3 linked regions of the Callithrix jacchus genome follow. The protein of the gene in region 1 purifies or fractionates together with the protein of each later gene. This does not show direct contact. Links are inferred from orthologs where the notes say so. Each region holds a gene or a part of one and is shown in the gene's direction. Other genes may lie near its edges.

Region 1 (3,247 bases):
TGGAGATGAACAGTTGATAATGGGCTTTTCTTATAATTGAAGGGCTGTTAGTCTATAGAAGCAAGTAGGTTTATTGACTTATTCTGTGTAGCAGATAAGGTGGAACTAAAATCAGTGCATGGAAGTGACAGGATATCATTGAATAATTTGTAATTCCCATAGAGTTGTCCCTTTTGTTGAAGCACTATTAAAAGCCCGAATGGTGTTGCTAAGAGGGATGTTCATTGGCTTTGTCAGGGAAAGTTGAACTCCAGCATTTAACACTCTCTGTGGTAAGGGTTTACCTTGGGCCAAGATTTTGTTTTTGTTTTGATATACTTGTATTTAGACTCCATTTGATTATTTGAGTATCTACTATGCTGTAGTTGATTTGTTGAGTACAGTGACCGTATATATGTCTTGGTTTGCTTGGGAGAATCCTGATTCATGTCTCTTCTTCTGGCTTTATTTATTTGTGTGTTGGGACAGAGTCTCACTCTCTCGCCAAGCTAGATTGCAGTGGTGTGATCTTGGCCCACTACAACATCTGCCTCCTGGGTTCAAGCAATTCTCCTGCCTCAGCCTGCCGAGTAGCTAGGACTACAGGCACCCGCTACCACCCCAACTAATTTTTATATTTTTGGCAGAGATTGGGTTTCACCACGTGAGCCAGGATGGTCTTGATCTCTTGACCTCATAATCTACCTGCCTCAGCCTCCCAAAGTGCTGAGATGACAGGTGTGAGCCACTGCACTCAGCCCTGGCCTGATTAATAATAATACCCACAGTTTCTCTCAGGTGTTCAGTTTTGGACGATGGTGAATAGTAAGATCACCTTATTAATTTTAGTTTGATGTGATTTACAAGAACATCTTTTTCTCTTTTAAAACAAGGTCATCAGAAGTACTTTGTTTGACTCTGAGGATCAACCATTTTTCAAAATAATCGTGTCCAAAATTATATACTCAACCTTTTAATTTCTGTAAATTTTTAATGCAGTGTACATAAACAGCCATTTTTCCTGCTTGTGGACTTTATTTCATAATTATTTTCCTATATTCTTTTAAACAGAAGGCAGACGGTAACAAGTACTCCTTGCTGGATTGAACTTCATCTGAATGGACCTCTGCAGTGGTTGGACAAAGTATTAACTCAGATGGGATCCCCTTCAGTGCGTTGCTCAAGCATGTCATAAAGCTTCATCACCAATCAATTTCCATCAAAAGACTTAATGTAACAACTCTTCTGTCATAGTATTGTGTGTGGTCTCCATGGACTGTTTACTGTCCAAAAGTTCAAGAGAGAAAACAGCACTTGAGGTCTCATCAATTAAAGCACCTTGTGGAATCTGTTTCCTATATTTGAATATTAGATGGGAAAATTAGTGTCTAGAAATACTCTCCCATAAAAGAGGAAGAGAAGATTTTAAAGACTTAATGATGTCTTATTGGGCATAAAACTGAGTGTCCCAAAGGTTTATTAATAACAGTAGTAGTTATGTGTACAGGTAATGTATCATGATCCAGTATCACAGTATTGTGCTGTTTATATACATTTTTAGTTTGCATAGATGAGGTGTGTGTGTGCGCTGCTTCTTGATCTAGGCAAACCTTTATAAAGTTACAGTACCTAATCTGTTATTCCCACTTCTCTGTTATTTTTGTGTGTCTTTTTTAATATATAATATATATCAAGATTTTCAAATTATTTAGATGCAGATTTTCCTTGTAGAAAAACTAATTTTTCTGCCTTTTACCAAAAATAAACTCTTGGGGGAAGAAAAGTGGATTAACTTTTGAAATCCTTATCCTTAATGTGTTCAGTGGGGCTTAAACAGTCATTCTTTTTTTGTGTGTGTGTTTGTGTGTTTTTTTTTAACTGCTAAATCTTATTATAAGGAAACCATACTGAAAATCTTTCCAAGCCTCTTTTCTCCATTCCCATTTTTGTCCTGATAATCAAAATAGCATAGCATGACATCTTCACCAGTAATAGTTGCACTGATACTGCTGGCACCAGTTAATTCTGGGGTACAGTAAGAATTCATATGGAGAAAGTTCCTTTGACACCCAATTTTCGACAGGAATAATTGGCTTGTATAACCTGGCAGTCTGTTGATTTAACTTTCCACCTACAAAAAAATACATAGGTGGCAGTATAATTATTTTCAGGGATATGCTAGAATTACTTCCACGTATTTTTCCCTTTTTAAAAAGCTAATCTATAAATACCCTTTTTTCAAAAGGTATTTTAAAATATTTCAACCGCAGACCTTCTGGTCTTCTAGTAGTTTCATTTGATTTAGTTACCAGATTGTATTATGAAATGAACCTTTTGTAGATGTAATTGTTTCTGCAAAATACCTAGAAAAGTGATGCTGAGGTACGATCAGCAGATATGGGCCATCTGTTTTTAAAGTATGTTGTATTCAATTTGTAAATTGATTGTTACTCTACATGTAATTATGAATTCAGAATTTTAAAAACTGGGGGGAAAAGCCATTTCTTTAGCAAGTTTTTTAGCTTTTAAGTTACCTGCAGTCTGAGCTGTTCTTAACTGATCCTCAGTTTGTGGTTGACCATATTTCATACTCTGTAGTGAGAGGAGATTTCCGAAACTCTGTTGGTAGTTCATTCTGCAGCAAATAATTATTATGTCTAATGTTGACTCATTGCAGTTTAAACATTTCTTCTTGTTTGCATCTTAGTAGAAATGGAAAATAACCACTCCTGGTCATCTTTTCATAAATTTTCATATTTTTGAAGCTATCTTTGGTACTTGTTCTTTGAAATCATACTCAACCTGTCTCTACAGGTATCATTTTCGATACTTTCAACATTTGGTGGTTTTCTATTGGATACTCGCCATTTTCCTGTATTTGTGTGTATATGTATGTGTTCATGTAAATTTGGTATAGTAATTTTTTATTCGTTCAACAGATATTTATTGTTCGCATGTTTGTACCAGGAACTTTCTTAGTCTTTGGGTAAAGGTGAACAAGACAGCTACAGTTCCTGCCTTTGCTGAGACAGCAATTACACTAATCCTTAATCATCTTGTCTTTGAAGGAGATAAACAGGGTACTGTACTGGAGAATAACAGATGGATGCTTCAGGTAGGACATCAAGGAAAGCCTCTCAGGAAATGATGCATGAGCTAATACCTGACATTGAAGAAGCAAGCCAAGTGATGAGCCAGGGAAGATAAGCATTCCTGGCAAAGAGAATAGCATCAAATGCAAAAAGGCTCACACTAAAGGAAACTCATG
Region 2 (4,113 bases), on another chromosome or scaffold:
GAAACCAAGGGGCGGATCACCTGAGGTCAGGTGTTCAAGTCCAGCCTGTCCAACATGGTGAAACCCCATTTCTACTAAAAAATGCAAAAAATTAGTCGGGTGTTGTGGCAGGCGCCTGTAATCCCAGCTACTTGGGAGGCTGAGGCAGGAGAATTGCTTGAATCTGTGAAGTGTAGGTTGCAGTGAGCCGAGATCACCACTGCACTGCAGCCTGCCTGACAGAGCAAGACTTCGTCTCAAAAACAAACAAAACAAAATAAAAACACAGAGCGGAGACCAAGAGGCTCAGGGCCTTCAGTCTCACAGGGTTTCTTTTCCTCACTGCCGGCATGTCTGCACTCAAACGTGTTCTCTGCAATGACTGCTTCTCTGGCTGCCCTATTTAAAATGTCCACGATCCTCCCAGTCTCCACCTTACACTATTTTTTTTTTTTTTTTGAGACGGAGTTTCATTCTTATTGCCAAGGCTGGAGTGCAATGGCGCGATCTCGGCTCACTACCACCTCTACGTCCCGGGTTCAAGCGATTCTCCTGCCTCAGCCTCCTGAGTAGCTGGAATTTCAGTCGTGTGCCACCACGCCCCGCTAATTTTTGTATTTTTAGTAGAGACAGTGTTTTGTTATATTGGCCAGGGTGGTCTCGAACTCCTGACCTCAGGTGATCTGCCCCCGACAGCCTCCTAAAGTGCTGGGATTACAGGCATGAGCCACCAAGTTTGACCTCTCACACTGCCCTATTTCGCTCATTAATCTTGCTTCTTGTCCTCCTCCCCAACTAGACCGTGGGCTCCACGACGGCTTGGACACAGCAGCAGATCAATCAACATTTGCTAAGCTAATTAATGGCACTAGGGAGGTTTTGCAGAGAAGGCGACCACGGTCGGGCCCCACCCGGCCTCGCCAAACAGGCCCCGCCGCCCCGGCCAGGGATCAAAGCGGTTCCCCCTTGGCCCGCGGGAAACCACTGCCCGGTCTAGGCCCAGCTCGCCCATCCTACGGTTCAAGTTCCTATTTTCGAGTCTCAGGGACCTCCCTTCCCCACGGACCCCACTGCCACCGGACTCCCTTCCCCCAATTAGCCCGCCAGAGCCCTCGCCGCCACCGCAGTGACGCCCGCTGTGCGCATGCTCTGGGGCGATAGGACGCGCGGCGTGCAGAGGGCAAAGCTACCCGTGCGCAGGCGCGGGGCTATAGCGGCCCCAGTGGGGCGGTGCGTCGGGCGCTCGTGCTTCCTCCTGGACGCGCCCACCTCTGTCAGCCTAGGGGCGGGAGCGCACGCGCGCAGGGAGCGGAAGGGCGGACTGGCGCGCGCACGAGGCCGGGCGGGCGGCGGAAGCTGGAGAGGCCGTCCGCGGAGCTGGGGGAAGGGGAGCCAGCGAGAGCGCGCGCAGCGGGGGCGCGGGCGGCGCGCGCGTGTGTCTGAAGGGGGGGCGGTGGCCGAGGCGGGTGCGCGCGTGAGGCTTCCCCTCGCTTGGCGGCGGTGGCGGCGGCTTCTTTGTTTCGTGAGGGGACGCGAGACGCTCACTCTGCCCCCGGCCCCGCGCGGAGGGGCGGGGGCGGCGCCGGGAAGGCGACGGCGCCTGCCGCTCCCGGTAAGGAACGCGGGCCGCGGGGGCAGCGCGGCGCGGGGCTGGGGAGGGCGGTTTGAATGGAGCCGGGCGCTGAGGGGGGAGGGGGCGACCGGCGCGCCCGGTGCGGGGCCAGGGTACGGCGGCGCCCGAGGATCAAGAAGCCCGGCCGGCAGCCGCGCGCGTGGGGAAGGCCACAGCATCGCGAGGCCGCGGCAGGGACGGTCCCCGCGGAGCGGCGGGCGGGTGGGGGACCCGGGCCGCGTGGAGGCCGCGCGATCCCCTCCGCGCGCGCTCTCGCCGGGGTCGCGGGACAAAGCTCGCCCTTCTCGTCCGGCACCCCCACAGTCGCCCTCCCAATTTCAGCGCTTGCAACAATAGGCAGGCGTTGGGGCTTTTCTGGCTGCGTGGTAACGGGTCAGACCCTAATGTTGCCTTTTTGGCGAAGCTGCGATTGGGGCTCAGTAGCCAAACCTCCAGATAACGTCCGGCGTCGACCGGACACGGGCATTGGCGACCCCCTTGGGCTAGCCGACCTCAAATTGTCTTAAAAACGCGTCATTCCAGATTTTCAAGGAAAGGTAAAGGACTCCTCCAATCCCTTGGAATTAGTGACTTCAGAATGTTTGCCCGAATTGGGGTTGGGGAAGTTTGGGGATGGGGTCGGCTGCAAGTAGGGGACCGCGGAGGAAATCGTTTGCTGTATAAAAGCAGTGCTTAGGTTTTGCATCCTTTTTACTGCTTCCCAATTGGTTTTTAAGGTGAAGGCTTTTTTCTTTTTCTTTTTTTTTTTTTTCCTTCCAACGTGGACTTTTTAGGCGAGTGTTTTGTCCCTGTCTTGAAGACACCAGTCTTGATTTTTTTTCTTTTGGTCAGTGACTCCTTGGGGAAAGTGCAAAGTGAGTAAGTGGAAAAGACACTTCGCAAGAATTTGAAACAAGTTTTCAGTTTGGATTGATAGGGTGCATTCAAGTTTGATTCCTGGTGCTGTCAGTCACTTAGCACACTGTCACTTTAGGGAAGTGGCTTAACCTCGCTGAACCTCTTAGTTTTCCTCCTTTGTGAAAGGGGGTAACCTCACAAATGGAATTGGTGAACGCCTGTGAAATGGTTCCTGGCAAGTGGGAAGCGATATTGTTACTGTTTGGTCCAGTGTCCCTTATTGTTCAGCAAATACTTGTTGAGGCCCTACCGAGTGTTGGATGGTCGGGGGTTGGCTCCTGGAGTCTCTGCAGTCTTGGAGGGTAGCAGGTGGTAAATGCGGGAAGAAACCCTCCTGGCCTGTCATTTAATGCTTATAACTTGCACTGTGAGAGGGATGCAGCAGACATGCAGGGAATGAGTGGTAGCTGGAGATCATGGGGGCTGCCTGGAAGAGGGGGCCTCAAAATCAGGGAGGATAATAGGATTTTTTTTTTGAGATGGAATCTCGCCTGTTCCCCAGGCTGGAGTGCACTGTCCCAATCTTGGCTTACTGCAGCCTCTGCCTTCCGCGTTCAAGTGATTCTCCTGCCTCAGCCTCCCAAGTAGCTGGGACTACAGGCGCCCATCACCATGACTGGCTAATTTTTTAAATTTTGTATTTTTAGTAGAGATGGGGTTCCCCCGTTTTGGCCAGGCTGATCTCACACCCCTGACCTCAGGTGATCCACCCATCTCTGCCTCCCAAAGTGCTGGGATTAATATGTGAGCCACCTCACCCGACCAGGACTGTGTTTTGACTTTCCCTGGCCACCTTGGGCTAGCCATTGTTCCCCTCAGTTACGCTCACACATCACCTTGGTCCTTTCTCCTGTAGCTGTCACCACCAGCACGGTGAGAGCTGGGACTGTGTCTACCTTGCTAGCCCCAGAGTACCCTGGGCCTGATGCATAGCAGGTCTTTAGTGAATATCTGTGGATTGAAGGAGAGGGTCCTGTGGAAGATCGTGTGAGCATTTTTGTTCAAGGCCTGGTACAGGATCGGGTGCAGTGGCTTTGGGCAGTCCCAGCACTTTGGGAGGCTGACGTGGGAGAATTGCTTGAGACCAGGAGTTTGAGACTAACCTGGGCAACATAGAGAGACCTCATCTCTCCAAAAAATACAGAAATTAGCTGAGTGTGGTGACAGGCACTGGTGGTTCCAGCTACTTAGGAGGCAGGGGTGGGAGGATTGCTTGAGCCAGAGAGGTAGTGAGCCAGAGGCTGCAGTGAGCCATTCTTGGGTTCCTGCATTCCAGCCTGGGCGCCAGAGTAAGACTGTCTTAAAAAGAAAAGAAAAGAAAAAGCCTGGTACAGGACTGGGGATGGATTATAAGGGGTTCACGTTAGTTGTTTGTTTTTGAATTTTCCAAGTCATTGTTTTCCCAAACCTCAGTTGTCCTCCTCTCCCCTATGATAGCGATAAGGAGTGCTTATTCTGTAATCTGACCTCCTGAATTCACACCCGGTTCTCTAAATCCTAGCTTAACCTCAAGCGAGGTGCTTAGTACTAGGGCCCCCCACTTGTGAAACAGGTAGGACGAGGATGCCTGAAACTTCACAGGCTTCTTCTGAGGGTTGAATGAG
Region 3 (4,285 bases), on another chromosome or scaffold:
GTGCTATGGTGACAGACGGCAGTTGGCATTACCATTTATATAGTAAAATATCTTTAAGACAAAAATAAAAGTTATTTCAAGAATATGCTGTCCCTGAAACATGAGCTATGCCTTAAACTACATATCCTACCTCCATGAGTGAATACGTAAGTGGGTTTCCTGCCAGCATGTATGTGTAAAGACCTATTGTTTGCATGTATTAATTGCGGTCCTGGGATAAAAGCACAGACGTAACTTTCACTGCTGCTTTTTGTACTCTCTCCAATGTTTTGGAGGAAAAATAAGCACAAACAATAGAATAGAGAAAGTGAAGCGATCGTAATTGTTGCAGCTTTGACAAACGCCAATTTTGCTGCATTACAATGGGAAACATTTTTCAGCCTATCAAAATTAATTAAAAAACGTTTTTAAAGTCAGTTAAAAATATTAGAGGCTGTCTAATCGATCGCTTTTTCTATAAACATACTTTGGTTTCTCAAGTAATACCGTAAAAACCTTCTTCTCCAAAGAAAAAATCCCCACAAATAAATCTATTGATACCTAGTGACAAGTGGAACCAGATAAAAATGGAATCTATAATAATTAAGCTAATGGACAGTGCTCCGGAGCGAATCCATTTCCACTAGTTACTTGCTCACAGTAGGTACTCAGAAGGACTTGTTGAACTGCGGGCTTGGCGCCCATTCTCCGGGAGTTCACAGCCCTCGCGAGCGGGATCGAGGGCGGCTTGGCCCGGTGATTCAGGTCGAAACTCAAGCTGAGCCGCCCGCTGCGGGGGGGGACCCACCATCCGGACAGTGGGGGGCCTCTGGGTGCCGCGAGACTGGGCTGCCAGCCAGGTCCAGCAGGGAGTGCGCGGCACAGACCGCAAGGTCGTAAGGCCCCGACACCCGCGCCGGGCCGGGAGTCCGCAGACTGGCGACGGGGCAGCGGCGGCGGCGGCGGCGCCCAGGAGCGCCCCGAACTTCCGCCCTCCGAGGACCCGTCCCGCCCGCCCCGCGCGGCCCCCGAGGGCCGGGGCCGAGGAGCCACCTTCCGCAGGCCGCGGGAAAGGCGCGCCGAGTCCTGCAGCTGCTCTCCCGGCTCGGGAAACGCGCGGGGCGGGGGCGTCGGGCTTGGGACGGGGGAGGAGACGGGGCCACCTTCCCTCACCCAGGCCTGCAGGGGCCCGGCCTCCCCGACGCAGACCACGGCGCCCTCCGGGGCCGCCCTCCGGTCCCGCGCAGCAGGCAGCCGCCAGCCTGCGCCCGGGGAGCGTCCGTGGGGAGCGTCCGCGGCGAGCGCGGCCCCCGCCCCGACCCGGAGCGCTCTCACGGCGGCGCACTGCCGGGCCGCGCACGGCTGGCGGCGCGGGACTACTTTCCCCCGCCCTCTCGCGCCCCGCCCCGTGTCCTCGCGCGGCGGAACGCTCCGCGCGGTGCCGGCGGCGGCAGGATACAGCGGCTTCCGCGCGACTTATAAGAGCTCCTTGTGCGGCGCCATTTTAAGTCTCTCGGTCTGTGGCAGCCGCGGTAGCCCGGCCCCGGGAGCGGAGAGCGAGGGGAGGCGGAGACGGAGGAAGGTCCGACGAGCAGCCTCAGTGCCCGCCGAGCCGCCACCGCAGGTCGAGGACGGTTGGACTCCCGCGGCGGGAGGAGCCTGTTCCCCTGAGGTGCTTGGGCGCTCCTTTCCTTATCCTTCCGGGGCTGCTCCCGCTTCCTCTCGGAGCCAAACTTCGTCGCAGGCGCGCGGTCCGGGCGGCGGGCTGGGAGCCGGGCCGGGCACAGCCCGGAGGCCTGGGGTGGGGAGCGGGGGTTCGGGTGGGGGACGGCGGGGGCGGGACGCGCCCGGGGCGCGGAGGGCGGTGGCCGGGCCCGGGTTCCGGTCGCGCTGCCCCTCAGGGGCCCCGGGGGCATCGCTTGCAGGGAGGGGGTGCCGCGGGGTCGCGTCCAGGAGCCCGGATGGCCGGCGGGTGGGAGTGGGGGTGGGGGTCTGTGGTTTCTGTGCGGGGCTCCGGCCTTGGCCGAGTTTGGGGGAGGGACCCTGTGCCTCGGGATGCGCTGGGGCCCGGGGTGGGGTGGGGGGCGGGGTGGGGACCGGGGGCTCCGCCTTTTCAGCTCCTGCGGCGAGTTGGGGTTCGGGGGCTCAGGCCGGAGCGCCACCCTAAGTCCCATCTGTCCTGGGGATCCGCCGAGTGGACTTTCTCTTAAGATTTCGGAAGAATAGAAGTGTTAATTTTATTATTATTAATTTTTGGTAATGCCCTGCCTGTGTGAGTTTGAATCGAAGCAACTTTAAACCTTAGAGTAAACTCTGAGTGCGGTCGGTGCGATGCGTCAGTAGGGTGTGCACGTAGAAAATCCGTGTCTTGCACTATTTTAGCGTACCGTGCAGGTGAGTGAAAGCGGTGGATAAAGTAGGGGAGTCTTCTGGGTTTATGGTAGTGGGCATGAGACCCTAGTGAAACAAGGGGGTGGAGGAAGGGCGAAGGTGATGGCTCACTGTTTGTTACCACGTAAACTGCAGGATTCGGCCTCTGACTCGGACCGCTTCGAGGATTTTGTTCGTTTGAAATAATTTAAATTTATTCAAATAGTTTGATGGCAGCTAAACTTGATTTTTAGAGCACGTTTTCTTTTCAGCGGAGTGAATGAAATTTTCCTTCTTTGCAAAACGGCCAAATGCAATTCAAGCAGTTGAAACTTCTCTGTTTTGTCTGGAGAGAGGACTTTGAACCGAGACTTTTCGAAGTTGAGTTCCTATAGCCCGCTTCTGAATCTGCCAAGCTGGAAAGCTTTGGCACTGGGTGTAGTTGTTCCCTTCGTTCTGTTCCCTTGTGGAGGGACATTGTCTCATACTTTGTATCTTGCAGACATCTGTGGTCTCCCCCGTCCCCGGCCCCCCACCCCTCGAGTTTGTGAGTGGTGAATGAAGAAAGACCAGGCTGCTGGTATGCAGAGGTCGGCAAAAGGAAATCGAGGAGTGGTTTTAGTGCAATGAGAGCTTTGTATCGTGAATAATGGTGGCTTAGGCTTGAAGGGACGGCAGCATTTCCTTTGGTAATGTCTACGCTAATGTTTTTCAGATCGCTAAGTTGTAAAGTAGTTTGTCTGGAATTTAGGAAGCCATTTCAGTGTTTGTCACTTGGTGAACGAACATTCAGTACCTTCAGATGTCTTCGTGTCGATCGATTTGTATTCATCCTGAGAAATAGTAAATATAGCCTGAAGTGTTATTTATATTACTATCCGCTTAAATTGTTGACATAAATTTCTACTTTGGAGTCGTTTCGTTTGAACTAAGGCTGCTGCGACATTTATTTTACTTTTATATTTAAATCTTTGAAAAATCTCTGATTAAAAAAAAGTACCTTTAAGGGTTTGAGGATGTCCTTTCACACCAGACAAAATTTAGTTAATTTGCGCCCAATATTCATTAATTTGACCTAACCTTTGTTCTGAAGGCCATGTACAAGGACAAGGCCCTGAGATTATTGCAACAATAACTTGAAAAACTTTCAGAAGTCTTTTCTGTAGGATTAAAGGAATGCTGAAACTATTCAAGTCTGAAGTCCTGGGGGTGGGGAGAAGTAAAAACCTGTGCTAGAGAGCTTAGTATAGCATGTAACTTTAGAGTCCTCAGGAGTCGTGAGTCTCCCACAGACCAGAGCAACCATTTAAAAGTTTTCAGGAGAAAACAACTTAAAAAAAAAATAAGGCGGCTAATAAAAAATGAAGCATTTAACAGTGTTCAGGTTTCAGAGTATCGAGGGGTTTTTAAAACTGTTACTGGATTATTTCCTTTACCAAGATGATGATATAGAAAAGTGTATTGCCAATATTAAAATTATCAGATTGAGCTTCTTACTGTTCCTGATGACTGGATAAAAATTGGCATAAATGAGGGTCTCTGTGCTTGTTTTCATAACATCGCCACCAAGATAGAAAATGAGGAGGCAAGTTTCTTTAAGAGTATTTTGAAATGTGTTACCAAAAACTGTCATAGATACCCTTTTTTGTTATAGGGCGTGGTGGGGAGAGGTGCATGCTAAATATTGTTGAAACTAGGGATGTGGAGAATTCACAGTTTCAATATCATTATTTTGTTACTATAAGTAGCAGTGAAATTACAACTCCTGCAACAGACTACATATTCAGTTAAATGAAACTTCAGTGTTATTGAAATGAAATAACACGTCTGTCCTGTTACAAGATTATTTTATTTCTCTTTGGTGGTTTCCTAGCTGCTGATAACCAATAATGGTAGATGAGTAGGTGGTAAATTTTAAGTTTGTACTTTGAGCCTA

The links. The genes of interacting proteins can lie anywhere in the genome.
Region 2: the proteins of SMAD2 (region 1) and SMARCA4 purify together in Homo sapiens (affinity purification with mass spectrometry; 3 studies listed by BioGRID, with this or other methods). This does not show direct contact. The link is inferred for Callithrix jacchus from reciprocal best matches to the Homo sapiens genes SMAD2 and SMARCA4.
Region 3: the proteins of SMAD2 (region 1) and CTNNB1 purify together in Homo sapiens (affinity purification with western blotting; 5 studies listed by BioGRID, with this or other methods). This does not show direct contact. The link is inferred for Callithrix jacchus from reciprocal best matches to the Homo sapiens genes SMAD2 and CTNNB1.

What each region holds. Positions count from the first base shown.
Region 1 is NC_133514.1:90,930,367-90,933,613, reverse strand, and holds the end of SMAD2 (mothers against decapentaplegic homolog 2), read left to right. Parts: intron 1-1,050; coding exon 1,051-1,174; 3' UTR 1,175-2,747; downstream 2,748-3,247. UniProt on the Homo sapiens protein: Receptor-regulated SMAD (R-SMAD) that is an intracellular signal transducer and transcriptional modulator activated by TGF-beta (transforming growth factor) and activin type 1 receptor kinases.
Region 2 is NC_133523.1:10,116,034-10,120,146, forward strand, and holds the start of SMARCA4 (SWI/SNF-related matrix-associated actin-dependent regulator of chromatin subfamily A member 4), read left to right. Parts: upstream 1-1,313; 5' UTR 1,314-1,591; intron 1,592-4,113. UniProt on the Homo sapiens protein: ATPase involved in transcriptional activation and repression of select genes by chromatin remodeling (alteration of DNA-nucleosome topology).
Region 3 is NC_133518.1:78,994,184-78,998,468, forward strand, and holds the start of CTNNB1 (catenin beta-1), read left to right. Parts: upstream 1-1,485; 5' UTR 1,486-1,516; coding exon of another isoform or gene 1,517-2,153; exon of another isoform or gene 2,154-2,373; intron 2,374-4,285. Other genes in the region: uncharacterized protein LOC144579968, read right to left, coding at 583-1,454, 1,517-2,153. UniProt on the Homo sapiens protein: Key downstream component of the canonical Wnt signaling pathway.